Schizosaccharomyces pombe: one gene and its partner. The protein of the gene in region 1 interacts with the protein of each later gene in a biochemical or structural test. Each region holds a gene or a part of one and is shown on either strand. Other genes may lie near its edges.

The links. The genes of interacting proteins can lie anywhere in the genome.
Region 2: the proteins of prp17 (region 1) and prp19 form a complex in vitro, tested with the Schizosaccharomyces pombe proteins (one study listed by BioGRID).

What each region holds. Positions count from the first base shown.
Region 1 is NC_003423.3:2,649,603-2,658,548, forward strand, and holds the start of prp17 (Prp19 complex WD repeat protein Prp17), read left to right. Parts: upstream 1-1,991; 5' UTR 1,992-2,043; coding exon 2,044-2,154; exon of another isoform or gene 2,155-2,195; coding exon 2,196-2,960; exon of another isoform or gene 2,961-2,999; coding exon 3,000-3,615; exon of another isoform or gene 3,616-3,658; coding exon 3,659-3,706; exon of another isoform or gene 3,707-3,745; coding exon 3,746-3,882; 3' UTR 3,883-3,942; coding exon of another isoform or gene 3,943-8,946. Other genes in the region: Mre11 complex BRCT domain subunit Nbs1, read right to left, coding at 1-621, 664-743, 783-931, 1,036-1,124, 1,163-1,216, 1,276-1,312; 1-phosphatidylinositol-3-phosphate 5-kinase Fab1, read right to left, coding at 3,943-8,946.
Region 2 is NC_003424.3:5,129,973-5,135,842, forward strand, and holds prp19 (Prp19 complex subunit, ubiquitin-protein ligase E4 Prp19), read left to right. Parts: upstream 1-3,250; 5' UTR 3,251-3,269; coding exon 3,270-3,327; exon of another isoform or gene 3,328-3,367; coding exon 3,368-3,472; intron 3,473-3,811; exon of another isoform or gene 3,812-3,957; coding exon 3,958-5,261; 3' UTR 5,262-5,370; downstream 5,371-5,870. Other genes in the region: RNA polymerase I upstream activation factor complex subunit Rrn5, read right to left, coding at 83-1,753; rRNA exonuclease Rrp17, read right to left, coding at 2,268-2,669, 2,717-2,822, 2,863-2,966; srb6 (mediator complex subunit Med22), read right to left, coding at 5,451-5,861. UniProt on the Schizosaccharomyces pombe protein: Probable ubiquitin-protein ligase involved in pre-mRNA splicing. May also function in DNA repair.

The DNA.
Region 1 (8,946 bases):
CATCAACGATGTTCTTTTGGATATGGCGTTGGGGTTGAATAATTTTTTGGGGGGTTGAATTAGAAGCAGTAGCATACTTTAACCTCTCAATTTCTTTTGAGATTAGTTCCCTTGAATTCCTTTCAATGATTATCTTCCATAGCTGCTCAATAGTTAAACAAAAGATACCTTCTGGGAAAGAAATCTTCTCAGAGTCATATACTGCGTTGTTTAATACAACGAAATCCGTTTTTGAAATCAATTCCTTGTCTATATCCCCAAGACTCATAAAGGTCGATATCCTCAAACCCAATAACTCCAATAAGTGGTGGGACTCACTCGACGTATTTAACATGGCGCAACTGAATCCTTCTAATGAATTTATGCAGTCTTCAGGAGATGACGGGAATTGATCGTTGTTCTTTATGATATTTTTAAAACATTCAAGCGCATCTGGCATTAGGCTGGCGTCTTCAATTACGGATTCTTTAACAGTTGATAGGTACTGAAGATAGCTATCATCTATAATTACAGTTTTTTTAAGAAAAGCATACATAGTTCCAACAGTTATACTGGACCCAGCTTGTCTGTTCATAACAAAGTGGGTAGTAGCATCGCTATCGCGTAGTCCAGTCGGTATACCTGAAAGTTGATAAGAAGTGAAAAAAAAAAAGACCGAAGTACCTAAGAGGTTTAAATTTGAAGCCCACTGGGATAACATTTCAGGGTTATCGAATTGTATACACATACTTCTCCAGTATGCACTTAAAGTTAGTAAATCATATATAGTCGATAAAACTTACTTTATCGTGAATGGACATTTACCCAGTTGTATTTTAAGATCTTTTTCTTTGTAAGAATCACCATTTTGACCAACAACTTTTTCATTAACCTTGGTTCCAAACTTCGTATCGAGGTCCTTTACTTCAAACTCGCATGGGCCACCGGTAAACTGTGCACATATTAGCTGGCATTGATTTAAAATATAAGAAAGATAAACATATAATAGAAATGAAAAATGAAAAGCTCAATATTTCCATTTAATTGGATACGTACGTAGTCTTTCTCACTTGGGGTCAAAATCGTAAAACGAGCATGGCGTTTACTAATTGATTTAGAAATCACTTGAATGTGGGACGAATCGTCTGCAATATTAGAAAATTAACAAAAATAAGAAACTTACCAGATACATTTCGACCTACAATATAAGTTCCTGGAAATAGTATCCGTGATTTTCCTGCTGTTTAGTACGTACAATACGGCCATAATGAAATTGATATAGCTAGTAAGAGATACCTTTTAGAATGTCACCCTCAGCCTCAATTATCCACATTTTTTCAACATAAAATTCTTTTTATTGAAAAAATTCAGAAACCAGAATGCTGTTTTCACAACTGAGGATGCATAGGTGCGTCGCTTTTAATTTTAGTACAATTGAAAGTAACAAAGTAACCCTTTATGATGTCCAAAAGCCCTTCGTTAAATTAGAAGCTAAATCTACTAAACCAATTCTTGAATTTGAATTGACAAAGCTTGCTTTTCAAAGCTTTCTTCAAGAAAAAGTTTAATCAACAAAAACTCTTAAAAAATTTATAATTTCAAAAAATTAGACTTACACAGGTTCTCTGTCCTAGCCTTGCAAACACAAAAAATACTGTGAGTACACTAGAAAATGAATTTACTAAAGGGGTAAACTATCGTACCAAAATGAAATTTTTAAAGTCATGAGCTTATGTGAGCAAACAAACTTCAATTAAATACTATTTATCATACGTCGTGTATATGCACTACTGGATAACTTCTTTTACAGTTTAAAAAAGTCCATGCCTCTTTAAATAACTAACTTTATTTCTAGTTTTTACTACATTCCTTTATTTTTTAATCAATGAATTATCTATTACCTATCCTAATAAGCAGAAGTATGAGTTAGCTGTAGTGTTTCATTTTCGCTAATTGATATTAGCCAGGAATCTCTCATCCTCGCTAAACCTCCCTACAGCTTAATCTTCCTTAAACCATTACCATACGAATTTGCTGGTTTCATATTCGCCGTTTGCAATTTCTATGTTGGTTGCAAACTATTCTAGTGATTCAGAAGAACAGGAGAATTCCCAATCGCCTAACATCCAACCTCTTCTGCATACTGAAAATTTAGCGCCAGCTGTGGTTGATAACGTATTTATCAAATGTTTTTTATAACATGCTAATCATTTTAGGTAAAGGATGATTTAATTGTTTCAAAGGGAGGAAACTCTAGAGAATTAGCGCGTAATGTCCCGGTTAATGAAATGGTGCAGCCTGCTTTAGGGCCTGCAAATCCATTTGTCACTAAAGAACAGGATTCTATAAAGAACAGTATTACCGGTTATGCTGAGAGGGAATATGTTCCAAATTTTGTATTTAATCAAGAATATTATGCTAATACACATGCTATTTATGGAAAACGAAATTTTGATGATAACGAAGCTACTACTTCTACAGATTTAAAAAGGAAGTCCCAGAAAATAAAAGAACGTAGAGAGGATCCTGGCGATCCATCTATCCTTGAAGGGGATGGTGCTTATAAGGGGCCATGGGCCGGATACGGTTCTGAACAATCCTCTTCACCTTTGGAGTACAGTGAATATGAAGAGGTTGAATCCCTGGATGTCAAAAGTGAAAAGGATACGGAATCTAATAACCTGGGTCAAAATGAATTATTGAAGGAACAATTAGCTACTCCAGAAGTTGAAACTCATCGCTCTAAAGAAGAGACTATACTTCATAAAGATAGATTATTTGATTATCAAAATAGAAGCTATATGCATGTCCCGAATGACGTCGGAATAAATTTATCGGAAGAGCCTGGTGAACAAACTTGTTACATTCCAAAGAAGCATATATTCACTTGGAAAGGTCATACGAAAGGTATTTCCTGCCTTAGGTTTTTTCCGATTAGTGGCCATTTACTTCTTTCTGGCTCAATGGATAATCAGATAAAGGTATGTTTGTAAGCAAAAAGATGATAAACTAATATTTAGATTTGGGAAGTTTACCATGACCGTTCTTTGCTTCGTACATTCCAAGGACACGCTCGTCCTATCCGCGATTTATCATTTAGCCAAGATGGACGATCATTCTTAAGTACTAGTTTTGATAAAACAATTAAACTCTGGGATACCGAATTAGGGAAATGTTTGAACTGCTTTAATTCAGATAGATTAACAAACTGCGTCAAATTCCAAGTAGATCCTGATAAACCCAACGAGTTTTTAGCAGGAACAGCTGACAAAAGGATCCTTCAATTTGATATCAGAAGTCCTGATATTGTTCAAGCATACGATCATCATCTCGGCGGAATCAATTCCATAACATTCCTTGAAAACGGAAAGCGCTTCGTTACCACATCTGATGACTCTTCAATGCGATTTTGGGAATACGGAACTCCAGTTCCTATAAAATTTGTGGCTGACATTGCAATGCATTCAATGCCTCGGGTTGCCTTACGGCCAAATGGAAAGTCGATAGCATGTCAATCTCTAGATAACTGCATTTACGTATATTCGGCATACGAGAAATATAGACAAAACAAAAAGAAGGTCTTTAAGGGATACAGTTGTTCAGGTTATAGCCTAGAAGTTGGATTTTCACCTGATGGTATGGCGTTCATTTTTTATTACGAATTTCTAACTAGTTTTAGGGAGATTTGTTTTTAGCGGAGATTCGAGCGGAAATGCCTGTTTCTGGGGTAAGTGCTTGGAATTGGAAAAACACCTAACATTTTTAGATTGGAAAACCTGTAAGCTAATGGCTAAACTCCCGGCTCATAGTGGACCCGTACAAAGCATGGCGTTCCACCCTCAAGAAACAAGCAAGGTAGCTACATCATCTATAGTTGATGGGTCTATCAAATACTGGGATTAAAAAGATTGTTCATATTTCTTGACCAAACAGCGAAATATATACATTAAACTAACGTTTCTTCTATTCGCAAAACTTAAAACCTTCCCCAGTCTCAAAATCCTGAGATGCTAAAATATAGCAATCCATAGCCTTTCGGAATCTATTTTTGTATTGCTTTGGAGTAACAATTGTTGGTTCAGGACCTCTACCAACTAAGCCTTTCTCCTTTACCCAACTTTCAAGTTTTTTGTCCCAAGTGTATGTTCGTATGAAATCAATTATTCCAACATAAAGTTCTTTTTTTGTATAATCAATACCAACAATTAAAGAGTAATCCATGATATTGAGTTTTGAGAGGAACAATGTATCATTCCAAAGGCAAGAATGCAAAAGACTTTTTAGTTGTTCACTAACAAATATTGGAGATTCGTAAATAAGTTCAACCAAATTTTCATCAAGCAATACTTCATCTACCTTCCCTGTAGATTCTACATGTCGATTCCTCATGGAACCTTTAAGATCAAATATTCTAGACGGACATTCATCATAAAATACATTTTCCATAATCATTATATCAGTCTTACAGATTGTACCAGTAGTAGGATTTCGAATGTCTACGCGGTAAAATCCAAAGATTTTAGTCAATGCAGTTGGCAACTCGTGAAAGAAAACTTTAGATATGTAATCAAAATAAGCTGGAGCAAAATTAAGCAAGGAGTCACTTTCCAACCTTGACAGAACTTTGAGAATGTATTTCTTATCGAAAGTTTTTAAAAATGCTGATCCAGATTTTCCACCGCTAGATTCCCAAAGAGAACATCTCGCTAGAGATGTCACAAACGTCTCCTCACAGCCACAAGCTCTTCGCAAAGCACTAAATTGTTCCGCGAAAAAGACCTTACAGGATAGTCTTGCTGATCCTTCTTCAAACTGGTATTTCAAATGCGTCCCCGTTGGTTTGAGCATTAAGTTTTCAATTTTGAATTGCGTCGAGCCTTGTAAGCCTTGATTGGTTAAAGCTTCGTCCATGCTATCTTCAATTTCTACCATTTTTGATAAATAGTCAGGAGAGCTAAGAGTAAAACTTATCAAGGAGCTAGGTTCGTCTTCCCTTATGATCACATTTGAGTCGGAAAACATATGCTCTGTAGGTTGTAGAGGAAATTCAAAAGGTGGAGGATTGAGGGAGTTCCATTCATTCCAAAATGCAGATAAAATCCTGTAAACTGAAGTTTTGTCAGCCAAAGGACCAGAAGTTGGCAACTTTGATCCCTCTTTATCCATTTGACTAGAAGGTTCAAGGTTTTGCTGTTCTTCGAGGCCAGATTCATTTTTGAAAAGAATTCCAAAAATATCTTCAAACGCTTCAGGTGAATTGTCTTCATTCGAAGAAACATTTTCTCGCTCCTTGCTCATAGAATCAACTCCAGAAAAATTGCTTTCGGTAGCGCGATTTTCTTTTGTGTCATTAATGCCATTCTCATCTTCGGAATTTTCATCATCAAATGCTTCATTAAGGTCATTAAATACTTCTACTACCGGCTTAGATGGGACTACAGGAAGAGCCCGCTTGCGTCGAGCCTTTATTAATTCTTCATCTCGTTTTTGCTTTTCTTGTAATTGTAAACTTAGCTCTTCAAATCTACGCACTAAAGAGCTAACCCGCACATCTTTTGCTGGAATGGGCTTCCTGGGTGAGTATTTTGTAGAATTCTGTATACTGGAAATTTTTGCAGATATTGAAGAAGAAATAGGCATGTTCATCCCACTTGTTGAAGATGCATTGACAAATCGCCTGTCACTGGTACTAGCACTTTTCCGCTTATGAGAAAGCATATTAACGCCTTGTCTTTGGCTTATATTTGGATACGTTTGTCTACTGAAACCTGAATTTGAGACCGGAGAAGCTGGAAAAGTGTTCTGAGTAGAAATATCATTGGTAAAATCGATGTTGGCTTTAGGAATATCGGAAGATGTTGCTACTGAAAAGCAATCAGATTCTGGAGAACCAACATTTGCCATACTATCTGCATACGGAGCAACACGCTTGTTTGAAGCAACATTAGTTTGGGTAACTTTCTCGAGTTGATCATCAGTGGATTCAGTTTTAAAGGAGGGATATATATCAATTTGAGTATTCTCAAGTGTCTCTGGCAAATCTAAAGGGGTTTGGCTTAATGGACGTTCCAGAAACACTTTCTTAATTTGAGCGGCTGCTATTTTACTTAACTCTTTGTAAGATGGAAGATACAGCCGTTGATAGTCAAGAAAGCGCTGTTCCCATTTTACCATTTTACCCTGGAGGACGCGCAGGATTGAGTTTAGTGATAAATAATCAGAAGTTGAGGAATTAAGATAAATTGAATCAAATTCAGAATACAATTCAGTATAGTCACTTGAAAGTAAAGTGCGAAATTTTGAAATTTCAGATGTACAAGACTCAAATTTCTCAGGATCAGTAACCCAATCGCACTTTATTTGGTTTATCCTTGAAGCAACAGAAGACAAGCATTTTTCAATGACACCTTTTAAACGTTTATACTCCTTTTCTTTCAGCTCTTTAATATATGATGGATTATTTCGTAAAGTGACCGATGGAACGAAGAGTTCAAAAATCTCTATTAGGTCTCTTTGAAATCGTAAAGCCATGTTGCAATAACCGAAATAATGAACATGTTGTGCCATAACACTGTGGTCACAGAATTCGAAGCGATCCCTTATTTGAGAATTATAGAACATGAATTCAAGATATTTTCCAAACGAATATTTCCATGTTTCTTCAGACATAACAGTAATGTGTGTATTCTTTTTACAGAATTTGCAGTAACTCCACATAATTATCTTTTCTTCCAAACCAGGGACAGGGCACGAAAAAGATTCCAAAAAAACGCTGATCCGACTATTTCCATGAACATAACTCCTGTAATGCCACAGCATATCATTCGTTTTACAATACTCACCTCCACAACTTACATTGGTATTCAAGCATGAGTCCTCTATGTACTGACCAAGAGTGCAATCAGTTTCTCGATAAAATTCTAATAGACAACGTTCAGGGCCAATACAAGGAACAGAAGTTTCCTTGTTAATAATGGAATATAACAAAATAATCCTTTGAGAAGAAAATGGAGAAAACATGAGTTTTGAATGAGAGTAATAAAGTGTCCACTGCTTTTCTAAAAAATGATAACGTTCATCAATACAAAAGAATTTATAGGACTCTTCGTAACTTTCTTCTACATTGTCATTTTCGGACTGCTTCATTACGAATGAGCCAGTTGGTGAGTATGGATGTAACTTCACATCTTTCAGTAATTTGTTACGAATAAACTGGTAATAATTAACTTGGTTTAATAAACGTGGAAGAGGCTTTGATAAAAAGGGTGAAAACGTTAAAAATCTGGTTTTCAAAGCCTTGGTAATAGAAGAATAGTCATCTGAGGCTGGTAAGTTATTGATCAACTCAAGCGGGCTGTTGCTACCTTGGGTGCTAGAAACACTTTGATTTTCATTTTCCAAAGGTCGCAAACTTTGATTATCACTGTTCAGAGATTTTTTTTCATGATTTTGGCTTTTCTCTTTATCAGCTGCAGTAGAGGCAAACGAAGGCAACGATTTCCTAGACAAACTTTGATAGGTTGTTTCAAAAAGCTCCGGCATATTCACAAATTTGTCTCTTAACAAGGCACATTCAAGTTTGATATGATATGCAATCAAAACAACAAGTTCGACAATCTTCTTGACCTTGCTCAACTGATTATAATCAGCTCCTCTTAGAACTATGGTGCAGCCTAAACGTTCCGAGCAGCGATCAAGTATAGCAAACGTTTTCCTCAACCCTTTGTTTTCATCGACAACATACGTTCTGAGTTGAAACCTGCCGCAAGTACCAAGACGAGGACAAAGCGACAATTTATCTATTGACGATATTATGTCTGCACGACAACATCTAGCTATGTCATATAAAACTGATTCTTTAAGTCCATGAAAGGCTATAACGCCATGTTCTTCAAAGTACTTCAAGGCAATACTGGGGATTTGACCCTGAGCAAAAACTAGATTCGGTTTAAGCATGCAGATTCTATTGACAAGATTTATAATATACTCTTCTTGCTGAGAGATGATTAAATCCAAGGATAAAATTCTCTGTTCGTCACAAGCGTAGTCTAAACTGAAAGTTAAAAGAGCTATACGAGGCCGACGAAGCGAGCGGTCCATAGATTTGGACGAAGCTTTTTTTGAGAACAAAACACCATTAACAAGAAAACAATCTTGAATGCTTCCCCCGGGAATCTTTTTTATTTTTACATAGCTGCGGACATCAATATCATCACCAGAGCGAATATCAGGACCTAGATCCAAAGCCATTTTTAAAAGAATTTTTGGGAGACAAAGTACCCATTGCATAGGCGAATCCACACCCTCATCATTTAGCATTTGAAAGAGTAATTTTCCCAGAAAAGTACATACAAGCTGATTAAATGAATCAGAGAAGAGAATCCAAGGTGGTAAAATACATGTGCTTTTGGAAGAGGTAACTACAGAAGAAGCACGCGACTTTCCCTGGTAAGGAAGAGGCTCTTCTGTTCCACCGGGATGATTCACCTTATCAACTCGCGCATTGAAGTTTTCAATTAAAGCGGGAAGTCCATCGGGAATAGTAGAAGAAGGAAAAAGATAGTCGCAAACCGTTTTCGGAAGAAAAGCTTTTAAAAAATTTGATAAGTAACTTTCATTACCGTAACGCTGAATTGATGCAACATTTTGCTGGCGTTGCTTAATAATTGCACTATTGGCATGAAAAGAAAGGCCCAATCCATCATTGAATAGTGATTCATCGTCGGAGTCGGAGAAATGATGATAGGAATTGCCCGAATCGGCCAAACCCCGTTCATCAGTCAAGGAAGAACTTCTTGAAATAAAGGGTTCATTTATTACTGTGCTCAATCGATCGTAAGACGTTGCTTTTATATTTGGAGAAAGGTTAACAAATGAAAGGCCTCTGTCGCCTTTGCTAAAATCCTCGAGCCGGTTTCTTTCATCAGCCGACAAGTACATATCAGAGACTTTCGCTGAGGAAAACGC
Region 2 (5,870 bases), on another chromosome or scaffold:
GCTATCCAACACAGAGGCAGCGCTAAAAAACAATTTATGTTTTTGTAAAGGCTTCAAGACTGTAGTTCGAAAATGAAGACATCTATTTTAAAGGGAGTGACAACTCCCAAGAAGAGACAGGTTTTGCAAGTTTCCTTTCAGGATCTTCTGTACTATTTGGAAGATTAGACAAATCATAGGATATTAACCCTACATATCCGCTTTCAAGTTCAGATACGACTTCAGCTGCACCCGGGGCATGGGAAACAACTGGATCCTTGTAATAATAACATATAGGTTGAACTTCATCATCACTATCGGAATGTTCGTCAATGTTGTGCAAGCTCTTGGAAGTTATTTTAAGAGTCGTAAACACGTCGGAACCTTTTAACTTGTCTTTCATTCGCTTTTGAGCCAGCAAATTACTAAGTGGTATAGTTTCAAAAAGAGCGTCCTCTGTCGACATCTCATCGGTTAAATGCAGCACATATTTCCAAACAAAGCTTTCGTAGTTTTTGGATTGAATCATGTCGTAGGCTTCGACGCTGTCATCAATTTCCACAAGACTTTCTTCTGCGACACTTTCATCCATGAACATTTGAGCATTATCAGGATACTCAGCCTGATTAACAGATTTCTTAAAACCATTGATGCTAGTCTCATCGGCGGGTACAGAATCTACCTTGCGCTTTACATCATGTTCTCCAAGGTTACCATCGCTTTCATCTGTCGAATGTTCCTTAGAATCAAAAAACATGGTGTTTTCGTTATTTTTTGTCTTCCGTGCTCTGACTCGTCCTAATTTCAGTTTTGATTGTCTTTCATCAGATTCCATTATGTGTATATAATTTTGAAATTTGAGACGTTTGTTTCTTTTGTAAACATTCATCTTTTGTCTAGTGGGTAAATACTTCCAAAATCCGGGTATATTGAATCGGTGAAATCGTAAAAATTTGCCTGACAGAACAACGTCTCTATTCTTGATAATAGGTTTTCTATGAAAGGCATTGTTAGCCTCTAGTTTCCTAAACCTAGACTCCGCCAAAAATATAGATGTTCCGATTAATTCCTTCAACTTGCTTTTAATGATTTGTAATAAAAACTCCGTAGCGCCAGCAGAAAGTGGATTGCTTGGAAAAGGCGCTTGTCGATCGAAATGATAAAACCGTTCAGAAATCTTTCTCATCTCATTTGTATCAAATAAATCCTCATTTGAGGTTTTGTTTTTGACACTTTGCGCATTATAGTGTGAAGTTTCAACCCCTGAGATATTCGAACCCTCAAGAAGTCTTTCCGCAATTTTTTCTTCCCAATCAATCCAATTCTGACTCATTTCCATTGCAATAGGTATATCTTCATATTTCAACAAACATTGACTGCGCACGGATGCGTCTACGTGATTACGAAGCCAACGTAGCTCATTCTCTAAGGCATTTATGTAACGCTCGATCTGCACAGCGCTTTTAGAAGGAATGGAGTAAGCTATCAAATCTAAATCTCTTTTCCCATTTCGAGCAACCGCTTGAAAAAACAGTTCTTTTTCTTCTGCACTCCAGTAAGTTCCATCCACACAAGAGCCACTAAGAACGCCCCATTGTTCTTCTTCCAAATCAAAGTCACGCTTATTTTCAGTCTCAACTTCGTATTGTTGAAGGACGTCTAGGTATCGTTCATCATGAGTCATGTACAATTGCTCACTTGAGCCAATGATAGATGCAGTGCTTAAAGGCGTTGACCCTTCACTCTCATTTAATCCGTTTATTGAAGAAGACATGTTATTATTGAGAACATGATCAACGCTAATGAAATAAAAGCTGTTGCAGTCTTCTTTTTAATATTTTTTTGTTTACCACATTACCAGACGTGGTTTGTGTTCTGACAAAGATCAAACTCGGTATTCTAGTGAATTTCGCTAATATACTAAAATCCAAAGGAATATATAAATGTAGAGTATCTCTAAAATTTACGGGTTTTAAACATAATAAAAAAATATAAATCGTGCTAAAATCTAGCTTACCGCTTATTGAGTACAAATTTTTTGCGCATGTACAAACACCTTAATCAAAACTGTGAACAAAAAATTGAAAAAGGCTGAAATGCATATATCAGACCAAGAAAAACTCCGTATATGTAATGATCTCTTGTAAAGTAGTTTGTTAACTTCCAAAAATTCTCAACCTGAAAAACGAATGGACAATTGAATTCAAATATCATTTTATACCAACCATATTCATAAATATAAAAAAAGGGCAAGATGCGTCAAACAACGTGTGCTTGAAGTTCCTAATTTAACGTCTTATTTTCTTCTTTAAACGACGTATTTTTTCTTTTCTTCTGTCCTGTGTACGTTCAAATTTGCTCTCATACCGAAATTTCTTTTTGGCGGCATTTTTAGGCTTGTGGGGACGCAAAGGAACATCTGGTGGAGGAGAAATACGAGGCGTGACAAAACCTTCTTTAGGATAAGCAATTTCTTCATCATCATCGTCCTCTACAATTTCTACCGTAACATGCTTATCATCTTCGTCATACTCAGTAGTTTTAGGCTCCATTGATGACTCTTCCTCGCTGTCAGATTTAGATGAGGAATCTTCTTGCTGTGAAGATTCTTCATCATTTTCTAGCGAGCTATTCAACTCTTTAGAGAATGCTAATCGCTCAGCCAGTTCTCTTTTGCGCTGTTCTCTGAGCTGAATAGTGTTAGTGATATACTCAAGATAGTATTAGAAAAACTTACAGATTTCCTCAACGCTAAACGTTCTTCGCGTTTTTGCTGCTCCAATTGAACTTGAGCATGCTTTCGTCGTTCAACTTTGCGTTTATGAAATCCAGTTAAATACTCTCTGTAACAAGTTAGTAGCAATCCCTTTATGATATCCATACTTTCGCTTCTCTTTATCAAAGACGATCTCCTCCAATCTTTGCTTCTTCCCTTTCTTCCTGCTGTAAATCTCACCTCCACGGGTTAGTAGAGATGTATTATCCATGATGCAACAGTTCGTGAGTAGCTAGAAGAGAGGGACAATTTATGGGAATCTGTAGTGATTTTAAGTAAATTATCTCCAATTCTATCCAGTCTCGTAATGGTCCAGTAGATTTATGAAGACGAGAGGTACTGAAACCCTACTATGCCTTGTACGTACATTTGCACTACTAACTAGAAAATTATTTGCAAAATGCATCGCATTTGCCTTATATTATATACGGATATTGGTATAGTGCAGTAAACGATTAGTTGGCTATGCATTGCTTTCCTCTAGCTATTACACACAGAAACCAACGTGTGCCGAATGTTTTGCTCAATCAGTGGAGAAACGCCAAAAGAACCGGTGATTTCTCGTGTAAGTGGTATGTTTGTACAATAATTTCCCTGTCTGACTGAATGTAGGAAATGTTTACGAGAAGCGCTTGATTGAACAAGTTATTCGTGAAACGTCTAAAGACCCTGTTACTCAACAGGAATGCACGTTGGAGGACTTGGTTCCTGTAAAGGGTAAGATTTCCTTCTTTATTATTGAATGGTTAAGAATTTCAAGTAGCACTTATTTTTTTATACGTGGAGTACTGAATATTCTGAAATTGGTTTGGAAAGTAAAACCCTGCAATATTGGTTGAAGAACTCGTTTATTTTCTTTTTTTTGTTGATAATGTATTTTATTGCATGATTGATTTGTACTCGAAATTTTTTAATTTTACAGCTTTATATTTCTCCTTAAAAAGTGGACTATTTAGTGCATGTCAATATCTCGGGGCAGAAATTAGGAAGGTTTTTAGAGAATTATAGAACAACCTTGTCGGATTTATCAAAACAAATCTTTATCAAAATTAATGTGGAGTTGTTGAGGAAAATGTATTAATACTTTAGATTTTTTTTGGTTTTTGCTCTCCAATGCGATTTATATTTACTATATTTTGATTGTACTGACCATTCACATATAAAGCGAATCAAATCGAAGATAATTGCTAACCTTTAAACAGTACCTGATTTTGTTAGACCTCGACCTCCTTCTGCCACTTCATTGCCTGCATTGCTGTCTCTCTTTCAAGAAGAATGGGATTCTGTCGCGCTTGAGCAATTTGAACTTAGAAGAAATCTTACAGAGACGAAGCAGGAGTTATCAACGGCATTGTATTCGCTAGATGCTGCGTTAAGAGTTATATCTCGGCTTACCAAAGAAAGAGACGAAGCTAGAGAAGCATTGGCGAAATTTTCCGATAACATAGGCACTGTTTCCTCGAAAACTATTGAAGTACAAGAGGTAGAGATGGGCGAAAGTGATGACCAGCTTAAAACTAGCTTACGCTCTACGGTGGAAAAAACATTTCAAGAACTTTCTTCCAAAAGGAAACGTACAAAGTTACAACCTAAATGGGCGACTGACGATGCTGTGAGTCAGCTCTTGCAAGCTACTCCTTCTACTATCTTAGAAAATTTGGAAACAGAAAGCACTACGTCTTTCTTCCCGTCCCCTGAAAATTCTTCTTTTGTATTATGTCTTCATAAGGATGAACTTTTATGTCTAGATATCCAATCCAACAGTACTCTCAAAATTTTTGAAGGATCAGCTTTAGCGTGTTGTTGGTTGACTTCTTCCAAGATTGCTGTCGCTACTGCTGATGCCATTTCAATTTTTGAATTTCCTGTTTCCTCATCTGGTTTACAAAGTGTGGGTGAACCTACTTCGTCCATTCCTATAGACGAAAAGGTGAACTTCCTTCAAGCTCATCCAAGTGGGGAATATTTATTAGCAGCATCAAACGAAAAGTGTTATATTTTCTCCCTGAAATCCCAGGTTTATAATATCACCGTTGCTCAACACATTACATCTCTTGCTGTACATCCGGACGGTAACCTCTTTGTCGCTGGGTTAGAGAATGGCGAGTTACGCTTTTTTGAGACTTCCTCGGGAAATGAGCTTACAAAATTTGGACCACATTCAAGTCCAGTTAAAACATTACAATTTGGTGAAAACGGTTATTGGCTTGTAGTAACAACTAATGATGACTCTGACATTTTCATTTGGGACTTAAGAAAATCTGAGCTTGTTCAAAAAATACCCCTACAAACCAAAGTCGCAGCAGTGTCATTAGATATTACTAGTCAACTTTTGGTAAGTTCGGATGGGGAGACTCTCTATGTACATATTTATGTCAAATCTTCAAAGTCTTGGAGATGTATGAGTCAAACCCATGTTTCCTCTATTTCTAATTTGGTTTGGTTAAATGAGTTACACCAGTTGTTGTTTAGTACTTCAAATGGAGCCATTCTCCGGTTGGGTTAACCCAATTTTTAATCCTTTAATTATGTGCTCCTCCATTAGGCTTTTCGTATTTAGTAAGATTTTGGCTCTTTAACTTAAGTGATTTCCTTCATAATGAAATATTTAGGCAAACTATTATTTTTCAGATAGATGTATCATTAAATTTTGACATTTGGTTTAATTGGCAAAAAATAATTTATGTGAGTTAACTCAAGTGTCAGAAACAGTGGGAGCCTCAGTTGTTTCTGATGCTTCTGGTTCAATTAAACTGACTTCCAGTAAATGATTTTGTAGTTTAGTAAGAGTTCTTTTAACTTTCTCAAGATCAGGCTCGCTGTAATCGACAGTCGGAAAAGACGTGGAAAGAGAATTAGTGAGCCAATATGATTTAATTTGTCGAGAAACATCCAGTAACTGTTCTACCGCGCGAACCATGGACACAGTATGGCATTCAATCTGGTAAACCTCTGGTGCTACCGTATATTTATCTTTGCCTTCATTTATAGCAATATCCAGTATGTCTTGAAACCTTGACAAAATAGTTAGTGTAGCATTGTCAATAGACGAATTTAAAGTATTAGTTCGCTGAACTAGCTGCCGTTGGAAACTGTCTGAAGACATACTAGCTTT